5 linked regions of the Danio rerio genome follow. The protein of the gene in region 2 interacts with the protein of the main gene of each other region in a pairwise test. Links are inferred from orthologs where the notes say so. Each region holds a gene or a part of one and is shown on either strand. Other genes may lie near its edges. The genes, in order: vaspb, zyx, cass4, imp3 and tuft1a.

Region 1 (3,569 bases), on a different chromosome or scaffold from region 2:
GATGCTGACACAAATTGAATGAAGCAGAGAGGTGGGCGATTTTGTCATGGACATTACACTTACTTTGCTCAACTCTCGCTTTTGGCTTTATGAAGTTTTTACATTGTTTATTTGTCATATTTGTTGTATTATTAGAAAACAAAGTAAACATTCTTACTTGATATTTTTAATTGTATTTTAAAGGAATAAAAATACATGTACCAAATTTACATGTAAATAAAGTGTAAATTAGGGCCTGGTGATACTAAAAAATCTCATCACAACGCAAGTCATCTGCAGTGTTGGGCACATTTCTTTAAAAGAGTACTTGGTTGCTGGCGCCAATAGCCTAGTGGTTAAGTGCACCAACATATAGCTCCATGCTGCTCACAGTGCTCGTGGTCCTTTGCCGACCCTTTCCCTCTCTTTGCATTACAAATATGCTCTATTTCGGAGCTAGGCTGAGCGGAATTACAATGATTTTAAGTATTGTACGATAAGTTGATATGTTAATTATTGTGACAGGCCTATGCACATGCAAGAGTATTAAGAGTTTTTTTTAATATGTTTTATGCAATATGTTTTACGAAATTGAGCTGACCAATATATTGAACTGACCAATGAAGTCGGCTGTAGGTTTGTGCTTTAATGATTCCGGAAAATGTTAACAACAATAATAATAATAATAATAATAATAATAATAGTAATAATAATGGTAATTCCCTATTAATTGCATGCAAAAGCCTTAGAAGCTTTTTAGTACTTCTCCATAGATATGAGATTGAATAAAGTCACGTTTGCTGTAAATGGAAGTACTAAAATGAGTTGCAGCACTAATATTGAACACTCTTTTCTTTTCTTTTACCTTCTTTGTTATTTTCTTGGCCTGCTGATCTTCAGGATGATTCCGACACTCAAGGTCCAGGCGGTAAGAACAAACACATTTTTGATTTGACATTTGTGATCAATTAGACACTCAAGAATATTCTTAATGTTTACCTCTATCATTTTTATTAACAGACTTTAGAAGACCATGGGAAAAATCCGCCACCATGCCCAGGTAAACACTCATTCACAAACTTTAGATGTGTGTTAGTTACATATTGATCTTGTTTAAAGCAAGCACCAGCACTGAATGTCCTGAAGACTCCAGCAGTTGAGTGTGACTCTCTATAGGGCCCTGTAGTATAAAGTGAAGTGTATATATACAGTACATGTCTCAAACAGGACTAACTCAGCACCCAGAAGTCTGGAGTCACCCTCTTCATCTAGTCCACTTGCCAGGTACTTTTACTACAGTATGCGCTCTTGTGGTTACGGTCTAACATTGTAAGCGACTCCCCGAGTTCTCCTGCTTTCAAATACTTGCATGCAGTGGGGGAAATAAGTATTCAACGAGTCACCATTTTCTCAGAAAAAAATATTTCTAAAGGTGCTGTTTTGAATTTTTCCACAGATGTTGGTAACCACCAAAAGAAATTCACATGTGCAAGGAAAGCAAAACTAATTGGTTTACAAATATAGTTATGTGTAATAAAAGGAAATGACGCAGGGAAAAAATATTGAACACATGAAGAAAGGAAGGTGTAGAAAGGCAGTGAAAGCCCAGACAGCAGCTAAAAATCTCACTGCAGTTCTTCAGCAACCCTCTGCTCTTCCTCATTGTAAGTTAACAGTGCTGTTTCAGTCCAACATCTACAATATCAGGAGGATGAAGAGGATCCAGGGTGAACATTTCAGCAGGACAATGATTTAAAACACAGCCAAGGAAACTCTCAAATGCTTTCAGAGGAAAAAAATCAAGCTGTAGAATGGCCCAACCAATCACCTGATCTGAATCCAATAAAGAATACAAAATCAAGATCACATTTGATAGACGAGACCCACAGAACCATCAAGATTATTACTCTTTGTTGAAGAAAAAAAAATATTCTCCACATGAGAGGCATCTTTAAGCTTAATCAACTCAAAATTCTTCATATAAAGTATTAAATACATTTCAGTAGTTCAGTACTTTCTCCTTTTGTCATTTCATTGTTATTACACACAACTAATATAAAAAAAAAATCTTTTGTTTCTTTTTTATGTTTGTATTGTTTGGGTTTTATCAAAATCTGGTTCAATTCCATGTCAACAGCTCCTTTAGAAATATTATTCTAAGAAAAAAACATGATGCGATCAATACTTATTTCCCCCACTGTAAATATCCCTAACATGTCTGTGGTTTACTGTAATTTGAACATATAGGTCAAGTTTTAAAGTGGTTTAAATCTATTGAAGTCCTTTATATCTTTGAATGTAGCTTTTTTCTCTACATGTGTTCTGTTACTTTAACAAAAGCTAGCATAGATTTTTACCATGATTTACAGCCACTATGTTATTCAGCGTTACAGTTTAAGCTTATGTATCAAAAAATCTTTAATAAGAATAGATATTTTTGGTCTGAATAAATGTTAACATGAATAGATGTTTCCAACCAAATATGCTAATTAGATTTTATTTTTATGCTTAAAACATTTGCGAATAAAGCGCAATTTTCATCCAAAGAGTCATTTACTTCCTGATAAACTGCCACCAAATATGACAGAAAAATGTAATTTGCTGAGCTAGGAAAAGCCACTGTGGGCATTTTATCAAATAAAATAAGTAACTTGCGGCTTAGAAGACGAAACGCAATAAACACACAGTGGATTTTAGAGGCGAGTTTAAACGTTTTTTTAAAATGTAGTGATTTCTTACCACTCCAAATTTTTATCTGATGTCATTACTGACACGTTTTGTCATGTTAATGAGTCCTAGCTTAATAAAGGTACACTGAAAAAAAAAGGATTCACTGGATTGGAGTGGTTGCAAACAGTTTATATGGGCTGAATTTAAACAAACAAATTTATTTGATGGCTCGTTTCCACTGACTGGTACGGTACGGTTCGGGTCAGTACGGGTCATCTTTATCTCACTTGCGTTTCCACTACCAAGGGTACCCTTTTGGTGGGCGTGGTGTATGACAGAAAGTTTCAGTGGAGGTCATTTTCGCTCAAGAAAATGTCTACAGTAAAGCTGTACCGGTTGTTCATATACCTGTATTATTTGAGAAGCACTTCTCACAATGAGATGCTTTATATACATAAATACTTCTGTATAAATGTTTATTACTAACTTTTCTATGAACAGGATTTGATTATAACTACAGATCAATGACAGTGTGAAATAGTCTACTGTAACGTCTGCAATTATATAAATAAAATAAAATAAATGCAACATGTATGAACAAATACAGACCCTTACAGTCGCAGATATGTTACCAACTACAGAAGAACTACACACAGCAGACATTTAGTCCTTATTTTGGCTCAAAAACAACACAAAATATAGCCTACAGTCAGTGAAAACCTCTCATCTGTTTCTGTCATCTTCAGCAGCACATGAAGCCTCTGTTAGGGAGTATTTCCATCATTCTGACTTCATATTAGTCCAGAAGGCGATTATGATAGTTAAACATGGCAGTTTGTTCACGTTTGCTGAAAAAATTAAGTGCTCCTTTTTTCCGGCTTCTCCTTTGTTTTTTCGCGCTTCACTCTCACGTTCGTCTA
Region 2 (4,169 bases):
ATTAACCCCACACTGGCTATTCTACTTGTTGCTCTTTACATATCTATAGTTCTAAATTGTGATTTCCCATCCTGTTTGAGCACTGGTTATCCAGATTTAATGGTCCAGAAAAGTTCCTACCTTGATCAGATTGATCCAATCTGATGTTGCTTTGAAAAACTGGCTCAAAAAGTAAGCTGGATTAAGTGATCATGGATTGCAAAAACAGAATTACTAAATTCGTATCAATTTTACCCAGATTAAACCTTTTGAAAAAACGGACCCAGAAGTCATTTATTTTCAATGGGAGCGATAAGCAGCGAAGAGCAACGTGGCTCATCTTCGCTGGTGTGGACATCGAGGAGAGTTGAAATCAAGTTGATTTTATAACCCACAACTTGAGAAAATTCCAGGGAACACAGTAGGCTTGGGAAGTAATACGGTAATATGGCATACTGCGGGATCTAAAAATAGCATAAGTGTCAATTTCAATACCGTTTTACCATCATAAAAAACAACGCACTTAAATAGGAGACATTTATTAAATAATAAATATTATTTACTTAATGCCTACAAATGCTTATGCATGATTGTCATCACGGAACAATGTGGGGGAGAGAGAGAGGTGAGGTAAGATGGTGAGTCGTGCACCAAGTGACTTGCAGTTTGTCAGTATTTCCAGTTTCGACCGAGGGAGACGTGGGAAATACGAACTAGAGGTCTGCATTCCCTCTGCTGTATCGCGGGACCAGTCCAGATTTCTTGCGGTGCAGGAATAAATTTCCGAATAAAGTGCGGAAGCGGTCGGTAACTCTGGTGTAATTTGAGAGAAGGCACGCGGTCTAACAATATCGATCCCAAGAGAGCACGCGCGGTTTAGGCTCCAGACAACATTTTGGTGATGCTGTCTGAGCCTTTCGTAATAATTTTTTACAATATGCACAGTAATACCGGATACCGAGGTAAAATAGGGAGGAGGTTTGACAGTATCAAAATTTGACTACCACCCAAGCCTAGACAGTCCTGTGAATTTTGGTTCTGACCACAGTTGTTCCCAAGCGCTTGTTTTTGATTATTGATATACGTTTTTCTCCTTAAAAAAAAATGGAATCTCACTAACTATAATGACAGTATTGCTGCTTTAGAACATTTCAGATATATTCAATGTAGAATATGTGAACATTTCAATGTAGTGAATTTTGAAGCTCTCTCCGGCTTAGCTATGAAGACAGCGTTGTCGTCAGGGCGGCAAGAGCGAACTTTGCCTCTCACACTGCCTTCGTTGTGAACACAGTAACACACTTACTACTCTTAAGTACCTTTAGAAGGACTTTTACTCAGTAAAGTGAATAGTAATCAGAACAGATATTTTACTCGCACAAATTTTTTGGCAATCAATGGTACTTTTACCTGACTATACATTCCACCACCTATCTATATATGAACAAGCCATTTAATACAATAATAAGTATTATTAATACTTTAAAACAAACATTAAATAGCAATCCACAATCATGTACAACAGGTATAAGAGATAACATTTTCCTGTGTAGAATTTGTTAACAGGTCATGTGGATGCACTTTGAAGACCAATAAAACGTTTAGAAAGCACTTTGAAGACCAACAGTTGTTTAGAAAGCATGAGCAGTGGTTCAAAAATCACTACAGTGTTGTTGTCAAACTTTTTGTCCTAATGTGACCTGCTGCCTACCAATTTGCTAATACATAAATGTCCTTCCAAAAAAAAAAATAATAATAATTATATATATATATATATATATATATATATATATATATATATATATATATATATATATATATATATATATATATATAATTGAAAGGGGAACAATTATTTAAACAGCATAAGTAAATGTTGGAGCTCACTGTATTTCCCATTAGAGTACGATAGACGCATTCACCACACATGCTTATTAAACTGGAAAATCCTAAAACACACTTGCGTTGCCTAAAGGCCAGTAAATCCCATAGTCATTCTTACAGGCACTCCACCCAGAAAACTTATTCGTTCATTCACAACACCATCCTCGCTTTAAATTTTGAAATGATGTAATTGTGGTCTTGTTCTTTAGACTCGGAAACTTGTGTAAGTTCGCTGTTCCTGATCGTTTTTAATCAGACATAACAGCAGTGCGAGCAAAGGAAAACAAGATGCTTTCACCTTATATGGACATCTGACTGGAAAACCAGTGAAATACAGCTCTATATTTGAATTCAATAAAAGAAAACCAATTGTGTTAAATGACAAACACACTCATGAATCTTTACATATAACGTTAACGTCACATCTATGAATAATATTACACAATTAACAATTTTAACCCACGCGCCCCACCCCTCACCTTTTATATAAACATTTTAGATCATATTATTTCACTTATATCAGTGCTATAATGAAGACACTATGCGTTTGCATTTTAAATACAAAACACCACGACTTACAATTGTGCTATTTAACTTAATCGATTTCTAACGTTACAAACCACCCCGAATGTGTTTGAGGTTTTGATGCGAATGCAGATAGCAGTGTGTGAAAACCAACAAACGTCAGAAAAAAAAAAGATGTGGAAAAGACACTTACTGTTCGTTTTCTTCGTAAAAGATGCTGTTAAGCAGTAGATACAGATTGTCTAATGCAGAAACCGCCTCTGATTTCAACCCTTACGGGGCTTTTATGGACAAATATCCTTCTTTGTGAATATCCTTTCTTAATTTATACCACTTTATATTGCTGTATAGGCGTTAAGCACCATGCTGTTAAAACTAGGAAGCTCTAGAGGGGACGTCAACCAGTGAATCTGCTCCGCTCACATAAACTTTTTCCTAATGTACCGACTCTAGACACACTTCCGGTTGACGCTTCCGCATTCCGCATGACCGCTGGAGGTGGGACAAAAACTGAAGCCAATGGTAACTACTGTTAAAAGAGATCTGCACAATATGTATGTATGAATTTGCTGCGATTAATTAATGAATTTATTTATTTATAAAGAGAAAACATAATTGGTTAAATAAATTATTCTGGTCATCAAACATAATTTAAAATAGGAAATAATCTTTATAAACTGCTCTTTTAATTCTGTTATAATAGCAGGGTTTTCAAAATTTTGTAAGATATAGGGTGTTCTGTTTTTTCTATATAGTTCATATACTTTCATATATATATATATATATATATATATATATATATATATATATATATATATATATATATATATATATATATATATATATTTATAAGTATACTGTTTGGATTTTGTGCCAATTTGTTACTTCAGTAGTTATGCACAAAAGCCACGGCAAAGTAGCTAATTAAATAAAAATATAGCAATCAGCTTTGACTTATACCTGTCTCCTTGTCGTGTTTTAGTAAACCTCTCTTTCTGTGAACCAAAAAACTATTTTGTTTTTAATGAAACTGTTGGACTGTTCTACCTCCTCTACTCATGTTTCTTACAGCCCTCCCACTACATGTCTCTTGGAATGACATCATCCCTCCATCTAAACAAGTTCTTTCTTGTTTGGCTTTTTGTCTAAACCTGAATTCATGTTGACATTATTTATAATAGGCATATGCTGTACCCACCATAAGGGACTCTGGACTGGCCATATCATTATTACAATGCTTCCATTTTCAAGTTTCTTAAATTAAGGGTAAAAACAAAGTTTGAAAAGGCTGAGTGACCATATACAGTTTTTGAACACATCAACACATTTCATACATGTTTCATAATCTAGCAACAGTCCCTATAAGGGACTCCCGCTAGGCACAATTGCCTCGATCCGTGCTAAAGCGAGGTTGGCCTGCCTCCCCCTCCTTAGACAGCCTGCCTTACACTGCATCTTTACCTACTGAACCTAAGCATGCTTACTTTATCAATGATGCAACTGTTCAGCTTAACAGGAAGAGAAGTGCTCTCGCCCAGTATATATGCTTTAGTTATTTCGTTTTAGTCGTTTAGGATGCAGTAACAAAGTCACATATTTTGCAGAACAAATCCACAACTATTGATTCTCATAAATTATCATAAAGTCCTCGTGCTGCAGGTATTAGGAGATTTGCTGAGGGTGCAACTGATGTTCAGCAAGGGGTTTGCGTTTTTAATAAACTATGACAGTTCACGTTCTTTGAAAAGTAAGAATGATTAATAAATCCATGTAAAACAGTC
Region 3 (4,243 bases), on a different chromosome or scaffold from region 2:
GAAGATCGCAGAAATGGCCAAAAGGTCAAGTGAGGGAAAAACCTGGAAGTAAGACATATGAAATATAATACAGAAGCAACATTAATAGCTTTAGATCTAGTAAGACTTCTTCTTTTTGATTTTGTAAGAAATTAATTATTTAATGCGGAAAAAGCTGCATTGAATCGTTCAAAATGTAAGAAATAGTAACAATTATGTTTTACATATCTACGTATATGCTCATGTATACAGCTATTTATGTGTCATTTTTCTATATGACTATACTTCTCATTTTAGGCGGCATGGTGGCTAAGTGGTCAGCAAAGTTCCCTAACAACAAGAAGGCTGCCTTTCTGTGTGGAGTTTGCATGTGTTCCAGTGTATGTGTGGGTTTCCTTCTGTCTCCCCCACAGGCCAAACACATGCAATGTAACTTCATTTGGATCGGTAACCTTGGAGTGTTTGGATTGGTAGAATTGGATAAACCAAACTGGCAGTATTGTGTGAATAAGAGAATGTGTAGGTGTTTTCCAGCACTGAAGGTTTAGTATACTTAGAATTACTGTACTCTCAGGGCTAGGTTGCAAATGGAAGGACATCTGTCGATAAAGATGTATGTCAGAGAAATTAGCGATTCATTCGGTAGCGACCCTTGATAAAGCAGGGAATAAGCTAAAGGAAAGTGAGTGAGTGAGTGAGTGAGTGACTTCTTTTATTCATGTAGTCATGTTTGGGTTTGAGTCAATTTTTTTATAAAGGTCTGATAATTTTTCATTAAAGTTTCAAATAAGATATTATTTGATAATATTATAAGATAATAATAAGTCATCATTTTTTCCATTAAGTAATAGTTTACTAAATAGTAATAGTAAATAATTGACACTATTAATGTTTCAATGCACTTTGAAAGAAAATGCAGCTTTGGAGAGCAAGAGAAAAAACATATTTCATAAAATAAATTCACATAGCTTCCCTAAATCTTAGATTTACACTTAAGAAATCCATAAAATAAAGAATGGACAGGCGGTTCATAAACCTATAAATCTGTTCTTCAAAGTTTCTTCTTCATGCTTCAAAGTTTTAGAAACAGATATCATGGCCTGATCATTTCAAAAGTGCAAGTAAATGTATAAATACACACGAAAAAAAAATCTTTGTTGAAAATAATACAGTGCTAATAAACAGATTTTTTATTTACTGTGCAAAATTGCACTTGATACTCTCAGCATGTCATATACTGGGCAAAATATTTAGCCACCTGTTGTGATCTTCTTACTGATTCTGGCTTTGAGCAAGACATGCGTGAAATCACAAACCACAGCCGTGGTCAAAGTCACAAATGAAAATCACAAATCAGCAATATTAAAGAGACAGGTCACCAAAAACTGGAAATACTCTCCCTTCACTTGTTCATGTTTGAATTTCTTACTTCTGTTGAACACACACACACAAAAAAAACATACTTCAAGAAAGCTGAAAACCTGTAACCATTATCTTTTCATACTATGGAAGTCAATAGTGACAGGTTTTTAGCTTTTTTTCATGAGATATTCTTTAGTGCAGTGTGTGAATTATACATTGACGATTGGGGTAGGGGTGGGGGGAACACATGCTTCAGTGAATCAAATTAATAAATTACATCTAATTTACTTCATTTTCAGTGTTTTGAGGGATATTTAGTGACTATTTTAAAGGCCACTGTAAGTCAAACTATAGAAATGATGTGTCTGAATGATATTTCTCCTAGCATTGACTGGTGCGATAATGCATTTACAATGGTATACACCATTATAGAGAGATCAAATGTATGTGATTATACATTTAATTATTAAAAATATTAATAATCCCCCCTCCCCTCATATAACTTGTTTTGATGTACTCAATCCCCGCCAAACCCCCCTGTAATTCACACCCTGCTTTAGTTCAACATAATTTGCAGGTTTGGAACCATTTGAGGGAGAATAAATAGTGAGAAATGTTTATTTATAGGTGAACTATCACTAAGTTCTTCACTCCTCATACACACACCACAAAATATTAAGAAAGTAATATATATATATATATATATATATATATATATATATATATATATATATATATATATATATATATATATATATATATATCCTGGACTTTTGTTTCTTTCAATAAATAGCTCAATTAAATAAGATGTCAGCTAAATAGTGAGTAAATTTTTTATTTTAAGGTGAACTATCACTAAGTTCTTTACTTCGACACACACAAACCACTACCAACACCACAAAATACACCAAAAAGAGCCAGGATTTTTTTCATTCATTCAACAGCAAAAGTGTTGTTAACCTACCAAAAATCCACCTACAACAACAGAGATTTCATTCCTCGCTTAAAGCTGTAACCTCTCCTTTCAAAAGCCCAGCTCGTGTTAACGACAGTCATAAAGTGCCATATATTCTCTCTTCCTTTCACTCTCAGGCTTCGCGGCATCACATTTCACAGCAAATTTAGGGCTGTGAGCGAGACTGAGGGCAAGGGTTACCGGCTGACAGCGCATCTGAACGGTGAAAACCCAGCAGTTGCTTACCGGCGAGAAAAAAATAAACCCGGATCTTGTTTGAAACCCTGACAGCACGCTTGAAGCTTTCTCTGAACATTTCTACTCATTCTGAAAGTCTGAACACACATCAGAAAGAAGATGAGAGGATTTTAAAATGAATAATAATAATAATAATAATACCGACCTCCATCTTTCTGAGTTCAAGCAGTTTATAAATCCCATTCAAAAGTCCATGTTGGCTTGACGGTTAGCATCTAAATCTGTTTGTAATTTTAATGTCTGTTAAAAGTATGTTGCACGTTCTTCTCAGTCTCTCACACAGACACACTCATACACACACACATATTGGACAAATAAACGGAGAGCGCAGACAGTTCACAATAAGGGGCGGGGTCTGAAGCGCTCACTCATGATGACGTCTCGCTCTCATTAATTCCAGCCAATCACAGCCCTGTCTGACAACATCTCCTCCTCCAGTTTCTGCAGAAAATACATGTTTTTAGGAAGTTGGTTAAACTTGAAACAAAAAAAAGTTCTTTTCCAAAAAGAGAAAGACAAAGTCGGGCAGTTTTACTATGACTTCCACTATTTTTATTGTTTTATTTTTACTCTGGGCTGCACATGCTTGAGCTGAGTTCCTGTTTTAATGGTATGGATTCTTCAGGGGCGGGATTTTGTTGCTGGGACGACAGATTATGGCAGTGGGTGGGGGTGTGGAGAAAAACCAATGATATACGGTAGGTCGTGGCCAGGGCCAGAAAGTTATTTCTTTTGAAATGCAAAATTTACCCCCTGTACCGAGAGATTGGGGCTTATTTACTTTAACAAGGGGCATATTTCTATTTAAAAACAAAGTATTAATAACCATTTTTAATTTCATGAGATTTCTTTTACATCATTGATGTTGTAATATTACATTAATTTAGTTGTTCCAGTGTAAAACGAGCTAAAAACAAAAGGGAAAGTGCTAACGCCCTCAGGATCAGCAGGCTAGCACAGAAACTCCAAATGAAACTGAATGATCTTTTATGCAGTGTGGAGCACAGCACTAATGAAACACCCAGCTGAGGTTTAAATCTGAAAGTGCACCAGGTTTAAAACTATTGATTCTTTAACAAAATAGTCAGCCCAAAGTTGAATAAATGAATCGTGTTGGGTTCGGATCTTTTGCTTGAATGCGTCGACATCAATACGGTACATCACCAAATATGTAGGTCCAGATCCGGTAAAATGTGAACGCGCCTTTCCTTCAGACACTAGCGAAGCGATGAGGATTAGGGGACTGATCATGGCACGAAGATGACGATCACTGACAGATGGGAGATTCGGCTGCGGCTTTGACAAACATGTTTCCATCCATATCTAAAGTATGTGTGTGTTCTTTTGATAAGCTTATTTTTTTTATAATTATTTGAAACTTAAAAAATAAAAAAAAACTTTAAAAAAATTAATTATTATTATTATTTTTTTTTTTGCTGTTCAGTTTTTTATACATGTTCAGTATTGATGAGAGAGTAACACATTTCACTGCAGCTCTTTCTGTGTGGGTGTGTGTGTGTGTGTGTGTGCATGCTCGCGTTTGTGTTTTTTGTTTCTTTTATGTTTTAAACCTATTTCAGAAGTCAAGTATTGCCACAATAGAGCTTATTCAAAGGTAAGTATTATATATGAATGACATACATTTAAAGGCAAAATTATTCAGTCTTTGAAATTTTAATTGTTTTTCAA
Region 4 (3,999 bases), on a different chromosome or scaffold from region 2:
CCTGTTAATTAAAATTTTACTTGATATTTTCTCTCAACATATTAATTATGTGTACAAATTTTTGAACTGTGATCTTTAGTTTATTTGTTGTTAGATTTATTCCAAATTTTGCTTTGGTACTGAATAATTTAATGTATATGCAAAAACATAAAGCATTTTGTAGATATATTAATTCAAAATATTGATCTGTGAGGGGTGTACTTTGCTATATTTATGTAGCATATGAATTACATAATTAAATAAAAAATATATTAAGAAAGCACTGACTGATATAAAGAAGTAGGCTACATTTCTTAAAGAATGACTTTAAAGCTGCAAACCGGTTGATGAATCCGGGCAAGAAAGGTAATTTAAGTGATTTGAACGTGGTATTGTTGTTGGTACCAGACAGGCTGGTCTGAGTATTTCAGAAACTGCTGAGCTATAGGGATTTTTACACACAACTATCTCTAGGATGCATCTATGCTCAACCTTCAGGGTTTCGCGACAGTAATGTGCACGAACAGCTATCTACATTATTTACACTGAACTCAGATTAGTTAGATCAAATGATCTTCAACTTTCTGATATGGAACCAATTTAAGCGTGGATGTTTAGTTCGGCTCATTGAAGTCAGGTTTTTGACTTTAATCCCCTCTTTTCTAAACCAATTTTAGGAAATTCATTTAGACACGTTTTGTCTGGAAACCACCATAGGAAATGGTCTAAGCAAATCTGATTTATATCAGTCTCAAATGCGTTTTAAGGGCCATTTAGCTATCCGATCACAGAAAAAATGCATGTAGTGACCAGGTGTAAACAAGAGCAGTTTAGAGGCATTTAGCAGGTGAATCAACTTTTCCAGAAACTTCAATTTGCCTAGCCATTTTAAACTCCAAACTAATTTCCTTTTGGCCTGATTTTGATCAAAACGACATCATCCACCCATTTAAATATAAGAATATGAACATATGCAGAGATCAGCAAGACTTGTGATTGAAGGATACGGCCCTGCTCAATGAAGGTGATGGCGTTCCTTAGGTTCTGAGCCATGCGCAGTTTCAGCATGATTGTGGGAAGCCGCCTCCTGTAGAAAAGACAACATTGAACAACATTCAAAAATTGTCTGCATCTCCTGCACTGCATAAAAACACTCACATATTAGTTGTCAGTGTGCAGGACTTGTGTAAATTATTTTATTATTCAAATCAAAAAATATATTGAAATTTGAATGTTTGAATTGAAAGTTTATGGTGTCATTTCAACAAATGTACGGTGCTGCTTTCAAAAACTCAACAACAACAAAAAAAGAATTTTTTTATTTAAAAACCTTACATTTAAATCTAGTACAAGAACTATGAAAAATAATGCACAACAATATTTCAGAAACCGCTTTTGAAGATTACCAGAATTGAATTCATCAAATTGTTTTAAAGTTCTTTGAACATGACTGTTTAAAACAGAGTAGCACATTCAAAACATCATCATTACTCTAAAGTACATGAAGGGCTTTATTTCATGGCACTATATATGTGTTTGTATGCATGTATGTATGTATGTATGTATGTATGTATGTATGTATGCTGGAGGTGCAAATTTTAAAGGTGCTTAATTTAAAATGATTAGTGATTTAATAAGTCTTTGAATCTGGTGTCCACGAAAGCATGGGGACCCTAAACATTAATAATTAATGTTTCTTGATTATCAAATCAACATATTGGAATAATTAAATAAAGCACAGTAACTTTACTCACCTGCAGAATGCAGATGCTGACACTTCATTTGCGAGAGAGAGGTTCTGTTTGGTGGGAATCAAACCGACACTGTATCTGCAAAACAGAAATCTTACAAATGTAGAAACTACTAAAACTTTAGTAAACTCCTTACAGAATGAGGTGTACACAAAAAACCAAGGTCAACAAGCTTTTAAAAATCGGAATAATATACAGATTCACATTTTATTTACTGTACAATTTTTATTCTGAACAAAAAATATAAGACATCTATTTTATCTATCATAAATTTTACCATGACTTACAGATAGCGCTAATAAACATGTATTACAATAGTTTGTATAGAAATAAAATCTTGTTTCGAGTATAGTTAGATTTAGAATTATTAAATAACATTAATAGACTTAAGATTTAATACAAATTAAATTTCGTCAAACAAACAAATAACTTTAAATATAATAAAGTTCATAAGATTCCTTTTAAACCTGTTTTTAATCATTTTTATTCTTTGCTGTTTTTCTTTTCTTCTTTCTTTTATTCATGTTTATGTAAAGTATTTAGATTACCTTTGTGTATGGAATCTGCTATATAAATAAACTTGTCTATTATCGCTTATGCTTTTATATATTCTAAACTAAAACAATTTCTGTATATTCATGACAATAAAATGTGACAGGTTCCCAAACTTACAGTTTTTCCAAGAAAAGGGCTGTACTCTGAGATCTGAATCCATCTTTTGCGTCCAAGTCCCGTATTTTCTGCGCCAATTCTCTGATATTTCGACTAAGTTTGTTGTATCTAAAGAGAAATCACGAATGCATTAATTGATAAGCCGCGTTTTATTCACAGTGATGTATTAGACCCATAACTTCAGAGAAACACAGTCATTGATAGAAGCATTTTCTTTACTCACTTGGTATAATCTTCCCTCTTCTCAATATGGTATTTTCTCAACACTTTAACCTCGTGTATATTGTTGTCAACCTCCCAGTTAATAAAATCAACTTTCTTCAAGAGTTTCTGCTCGTGAAATTTTAATTTACGTACCATTTTGCTAAAAAACACGGGCTATATTTATGGCTAAACGTGTTAATAACTTGCTCACTTCAGCTTACGCACGCGTGCTTTTTATTCACTGTGGTTTTCTGTAAAAACGTAGCTGTTAAGCTCGATATCGCCGCACAGTGTTCAGGAGGGAAACACTATAATTTTTAAATAAACAAATAAATAAACAAATAAATAAATAAATACATTTATCAATTAATCTATTTATTAATTTATTAATTAATTAACGCTTTTATCCAGAGCGACTTTAACAGATAAAGAATCCAACTGATCAAACAACACAGCCTGTCAAATAACACATTTTACTTAAAATTATAACTTTATAATAATAATATTAATAATAAAAAATCACAAAACAAATAAAATGGCCAAATAAACAGTAAAACAATAAATTAAGTAGCAAAATATACTATACATTTTCATTTCAAAACTTTGGCTACTCGCAGCTTTGCAGTATGTAAACTGATCAAATTAGACAGATTTTGCGCTGACGTAAACGTATTATAATTGATCTAAGTCATCAGGAGATGTCACTGGGGGAAAAAATGTATTTTCACATGACAGGAAAACCGACACGACATAAATCACTATCAAACCTTAGTTTCATCTTTGCAGAAAGTGAGGTAAAGGAAGTGAATGTTTATAAGAAATGGCGATCATATCCATCCATTGGACGGCGTGTGTGAGCCTCGAACAGGTAGGGTACAGTACAAATTAAAGCTCTTTACAGACATTACGAACATTATAATAGCCTGTGCTACTTGGAAATTCAATCATGACAGCGATTTTCATTTAAATGTAAGGACGTTCATGTAGCCTACTTTATGCGCGGAAAGCTGACAGAAAGTTTGATTTTGGAATTTAGAACCAGAAACCTATAAACTACGAACAAACGTTTTAGCTTTGCGAGTGTGTTGAAATAAAGAGAGAAAGAAATTTGATATCTTGATGGTGATAGTGAGAATGTGCTCTGGGGAATTTCTTTCATATATTTTTTTAAGTGTTGGAACTTGAACTATATGTAATATCATTAATACAGACTGTATGCAACAGAGTCTTTATTTGACAAAAAAATAAATTTCAATAAATTTAATTTTCTTTTTAATAATATTATTAATCATTTTGCACGTGTCCTTGAAATTGCTGTCCACCCCATCATGTGGTAAATGCCCCTTTAAGAAACCCTCTGATGTACTCATTGGCATCCCCATTTTGCCTTCTC
Region 5 (4,258 bases), about 6.3 Mb from region 2:
TAAGGGGTACTCATATACAGTATACTGAGAACTGTATACATAGTATGAAACAAAAATTAACATATTAAAGTAACATCATTGGTTTTATTTTCATTTTATTTATAACAAAAAAGAAAAAAAAAATCTTTTCTTTTCGAAAAATCACAACTGGTTAGAATAAAATGTTTAAATTTACTGTGGTTGAAAACTAAATTTTACTCAAACAGATAACTATAAATCATGAATCCAGAGACGATAAGATTATTACAGTTGTCTGATTTAATTTGTTTTAGTTTTTTTTTTTTGTATTACGTGTTTTAGTATAGTAAAAACACACAACTTACACGTAATATATATAATAATATTATTAATAATAATAATGATCATAATAATAATAAATCATTTACATTTCTAATACACAAAAGAGTTTACGCAGTGCCGTAATAATCATTTGTGTACTGTACAATTACTTCCAAGACTTGACATGACAAGGTGAGTGAAGCAAGAGGACATTTTACCACAGCATTCTGTGTAACTCCTCAAGGCAATATGATAAGCCAAATTTCATGTTGTGTACATATTTATTGCTACTGTTCTCTATGTACAGACCTGTATATCACGCAATGATAATTATCATAGACATACAGAGGTAATGCTTATCATACAACCTGCTTCATAATGAGAACTTGATGAGGGAGGCAAGACCTTTCCTTTCACAGACGCCACATAAAGATTGTGTAAACACAAGGTAATTATTTGTTGTTTGACTCGGAATTTCATGTCACAAGTGAAAGAGGTATTGATTGAAGGAGCGGTGAATGAGCAAGTAAATGAAGGACAGAGAAAGTAAACACACATACAGTACACACCAGGTTGAACAAACTTTTTTTTTTTTGTGTAGCTGTTTTATAAAATGGGAAACGCCTTGTATACAGTAACCTGAGGTCATCTGACAAAACTTGGAAAACAAATTAGCTACAACACTAGTTTTTTAAAGAATTTTACTTTCCATTAAAAATAGGATTATTTTGATTTGCTTGCTTTTTCTTCTTCAACACAAAATCATTGAAAGTCATTTAAAAAAGGAAACATGTGACTCTAAGAATGCAACCCATAGTGTAGGTCTTTGACCTTGCTGTTCTTAGTGGGTCCATTAAAGAGCTTCCTGTTGAAAAAAGACTCAATGTTCTGTTTTCATATTTGCAAATGAAATTCATGCAAAAGAGTAGCCTTAACATACAGTACAATACTGTATTTTATCACATCAGACCTGTTGAATTCCTAAGTCAGACTGAATGGCCATTATATTAAAAAGGAAGGAAACCTGCTACAATCAAGTAAATGCTTGAGCCCTGTCTTGCTTCCTACTCCTTTGGCCAGTTTGCGTGCAAAATGCAGACCTTTCTGTTATTTAGCTTATATTGTGTGGTACAAATAGGCTATAAAACCAGTAAGCGCACAAGGCTGCTCAGCAACGGTCATCAATATGACAACCTAGATGGAAAGATCAAGTTAATGATCATCTAACTCGATATAAAAACTCTATATATACAGTATACTGGTGAATTGGCAGACACAAATACAGCTGGTATTTGGATTAACTACCCCCTGTGCTAGCAGAAATGCCTCTCACAGGATATTAGCGAAACCAAATATCTAGTAAGTGACATTAAACCTGATTAAGCATCTGCTGTGAACAGAGAAGGGCGAGTGGAGGTAAATGAGGTTTAGTGCTGCTTGTCACTTCTGTTAATCTATTAAAAAAATACATTTAGATAAACTGCTTTCACAAACTTAAATTTGATAATAATGGATGAATGAAGGACAAAACCATAAGCAGTAGATAATTTCCTAATCTGGAATGCAGAGCACATTTAATATTTCACCAGGCAGAAATACGTTACAGAGGATCAAAGTTCACTTTTATGAGCATGGTGGGAAAATGACCCAGAAACCTCTGGCATGAATTTAGGTAAAATTGGTTTTATATTCACACATTCAATCATTTTTGAACAGTGACAACTTGTGTAATGGTCCACATTGTGTTTACCATGCTACTTTGAATATTCGCTCTGAAATCGCACGTCCGTATGACTTTGAACAAAGGTGTACTTTGATAGTTAATTTCCCTATTTAGTATTTGCAAAGAACACTTTTTTTTCTGAAATTATATTATTAAGCAAAAAGTCTTAACATGCGAATATTAAATCTGGCAAGAAGTGTAATTTCAATAAATACTTGTTTTTATTCAGTATACAGAAACGCTTTACAGTGCCCCAGTTACAAATGTACTAATATTAATTATGTATAATTACATGAAATATCCAGTTCTGTGTTTTTTATAAATACTAAATACATAAATTTAAAATTACACTTTAAAACAAAACAAAAAAATCTTACTGAAGATTTAACAAAACACATGGTTATTGTGGTAAAACCATAACCTCTAAACAGTCATGATTTTGCAACAGTTTAACAATGGTAGCCTATTTGTGTGTATACAAATAATAACAATACAAAATAAACAAGCACCAGAAAACAAGCTGTCTACACTTTTACCACAATAAAGTCATGATGGGTGTTAGTGTGGTGTAGCATGATGTATCTCTTTGGTTTATTTATATAAACTATTTAGTCTTGAAGAGAAAAAATATAGTCAGCAAATCATCCTTTTAGGCATATATATAGGCTAAGTAGTGAATAAGTTGCTACAGTACATACCAGTCTGTCATCCATTCGGATTTCATCAAACGTGCACATACTTCCCATTCGATTCATTTTAGCGTTTCTTTATTAAAAGTTAAATAAGTTAAATAAGAGCAGCAAAAGCTGAACGTCCCTCAGCGCGCGCGGAGTGTTTTGTTGTGTTGTCCGATACGCTGAATAATAAATAGGTTCGGTGCAGCTTTCACCGCAGGCTGAACGGTTTTGATAGACACTCCCCTCCCTCTCCTACATCTCCCTCCCTTCCTCGCAGGTTTCACGGGTCGTTGTAACGCGTCATAGCGTGAAATCTGTCGTGTGACTTCATTTCTTCGGCATGTCTTTCCGTTTGTTTCGCCTCAGCCCGCGGGAGACCGCAACATGTTGATGTGTTTCACCTGAGAGACACGATCTCATTCCACTATCCCGAGGTTACGGAAATTAAGCAATACAAATAGGCAGAACGTGTAGAAAGCTAGACAGTTTTTTATTTTTTATTTTTTTAAAGAATAGATGAAAAATGTCAGGCCTACTTCAGGTAAGTCAGAAACAAAAGACAAGTCCACGTACAAGGTTGGAGTACATGTGGTCATTTTAGTTATGTAGTGGATTTTTTTAGTTAAAGCCCTAAACTGTCTGTGATTGTAGAAGGTTAATAGTTAAATATGTATTTTAAACAGGATAGTTTATTATAAAAAGAATATATAGGTGAAGAGGGAAAATGCAATATGAGAGTTATTAAGTAATGGCACGTAGGCTATGTGTGACTTAACATTCATCTCCATTCCATTTGACGTTATGTCATTTATTTTTTTTGTGACAGGCTATAATTAGTGCATGTATTGCACACTGAAAGTACATTTTTAACAACTTTGCATCATTGTGGTCCAAACCAGACACAACTGGTATTAGAGGAGGACTGATTGATAAGCAGTTTTGCAGCATAGTTATTTTTTCTAGATGTTTCTATTGACATTTTTTTTTCAATTAAACAATTTCAAAACAATTTAAAAAATAGAGACAATTTATTCTCGCCCCACTGCAGTATTATACACAATCTTAATCTGTTTATATCATATCATGAAATATACATACATATGTTAGCAAATACAAGTTCCCTTATATATTTACTCATCTATTGTATGTATGTATGTGTGTGTGCTATATATATATATATATATATATATATATATATATATATATATATATATATATATATATATATATATATATATATATATATATAATATGAAAACATAAATAAAAAAAAATTATAAAGGGGAGGGAAGAAAAAAGAGAAAAACAAATAATTAACAGCCAAACTGCAAATGTTTGGATCCATTTGCTCTATATCACCACTGGCTGCCAAATTGAATGTAATTTTTTACTGTGACCTTTGGTGAAGTACTGAAACATCTCCATTGTAAGATGGTACATAAGATCCATAATCCAATGATTAAAAATTGTTAGAAATTTGTCCTTCCATTTTAACTCTTTAAACAAAATAATTGTATATCAAAGATAGGCATGGGCCGGTATTACATTCTGATGGTATGATAACCTTGGATAAAAATAT

What was found.
Region 1: the proteins of zyx (region 2) and vaspb interact in binary tests that used the Homo sapiens proteins (3 or more experiments, as listed by UniProt). The link is inferred for Danio rerio from reciprocal best matches to the Homo sapiens genes ZYX and VASP.
Region 3: the proteins of zyx (region 2) and cass4 interact in binary tests that used the Homo sapiens proteins (3 or more experiments, as listed by UniProt). The link is inferred for Danio rerio from reciprocal best matches to the Homo sapiens genes ZYX and CASS4.
Region 4: the proteins of zyx (region 2) and imp3 interact in binary tests that used the Homo sapiens proteins (3 or more experiments, as listed by UniProt). The link is inferred for Danio rerio from reciprocal best matches to the Homo sapiens genes ZYX and IMP3.
Region 5: the proteins of zyx (region 2) and tuft1a interact in binary tests that used the Homo sapiens proteins (3 or more experiments, as listed by UniProt). The link is inferred for Danio rerio from reciprocal best matches to the Homo sapiens genes ZYX and TUFT1.

Annotation. Positions count from the first base shown.
Region 1 is NC_133193.1:43,695,023-43,698,591, reverse strand, and holds part of vaspb (vasodilator-stimulated phosphoprotein), read left to right. Parts: intron 1-879; coding exon 880-907; intron 908-999; coding exon 1,000-1,039; intron 1,040-1,206; coding exon 1,207-1,263; intron 1,264-3,569. UniProt on the Homo sapiens protein: Ena/VASP proteins are actin-associated proteins involved in a range of processes dependent on cytoskeleton remodeling and cell polarity such as axon guidance, lamellipodial and filopodial dynamics, platelet activation and cell migration.
Region 2 is NC_133191.1:17,422,773-17,426,941, forward strand, and holds the start of zyx (zyxin), read right to left. Parts: upstream 2,801-4,169; 5' UTR 2,582-2,800; intron 1-2,581. UniProt on the Homo sapiens protein: Adhesion plaque protein. Binds alpha-actinin and the CRP protein. Important for targeting TES and ENA/VASP family members to focal adhesions and for the formation of actin-rich structures.
Region 3 is NC_133186.1:29,872,932-29,877,174, forward strand, and holds the start of cass4 (cas scaffolding protein family member 4), read right to left. Parts: upstream 2,864-4,243; 5' UTR 2,706-2,863; coding exon 2,700-2,705; intron 1-2,699. UniProt on the Homo sapiens protein: Docking protein that plays a role in tyrosine kinase-based signaling related to cell adhesion and cell spreading. Regulates PTK2/FAK1 activity, focal adhesion integrity, and cell spreading.
Region 4 is NC_133177.1:10,337,447-10,341,445, forward strand, and holds the start of imp3 (U3 small nucleolar ribonucleoprotein protein IMP3), read right to left. Parts: upstream 2,860-3,999; 5' UTR 2,763-2,859; coding exon 2,626-2,762; intron 2,511-2,625; coding exon 2,403-2,510; intron 1,809-2,402; coding exon 1,734-1,808; intron 1,067-1,733; coding exon 987-1,066; intron 1-986. UniProt on the Homo sapiens protein: Component of the 60-80S U3 small nucleolar ribonucleoprotein (U3 snoRNP). Required for the early cleavages during pre-18S ribosomal RNA processing. Part of the small subunit (SSU) processome, first precursor of the small eukaryotic ribosomal subunit.
Region 5 is NC_133191.1:23,754,976-23,759,233, forward strand, and holds the start of tuft1a (tuftelin 1a), read right to left. Parts: upstream 2,816-4,258; 5' UTR 2,758-2,815; coding exon 2,701-2,757; intron 1-2,700. UniProt on the Homo sapiens protein: Involved in the structural organization of the epidermis. Involved in the mineralization and structural organization of enamel.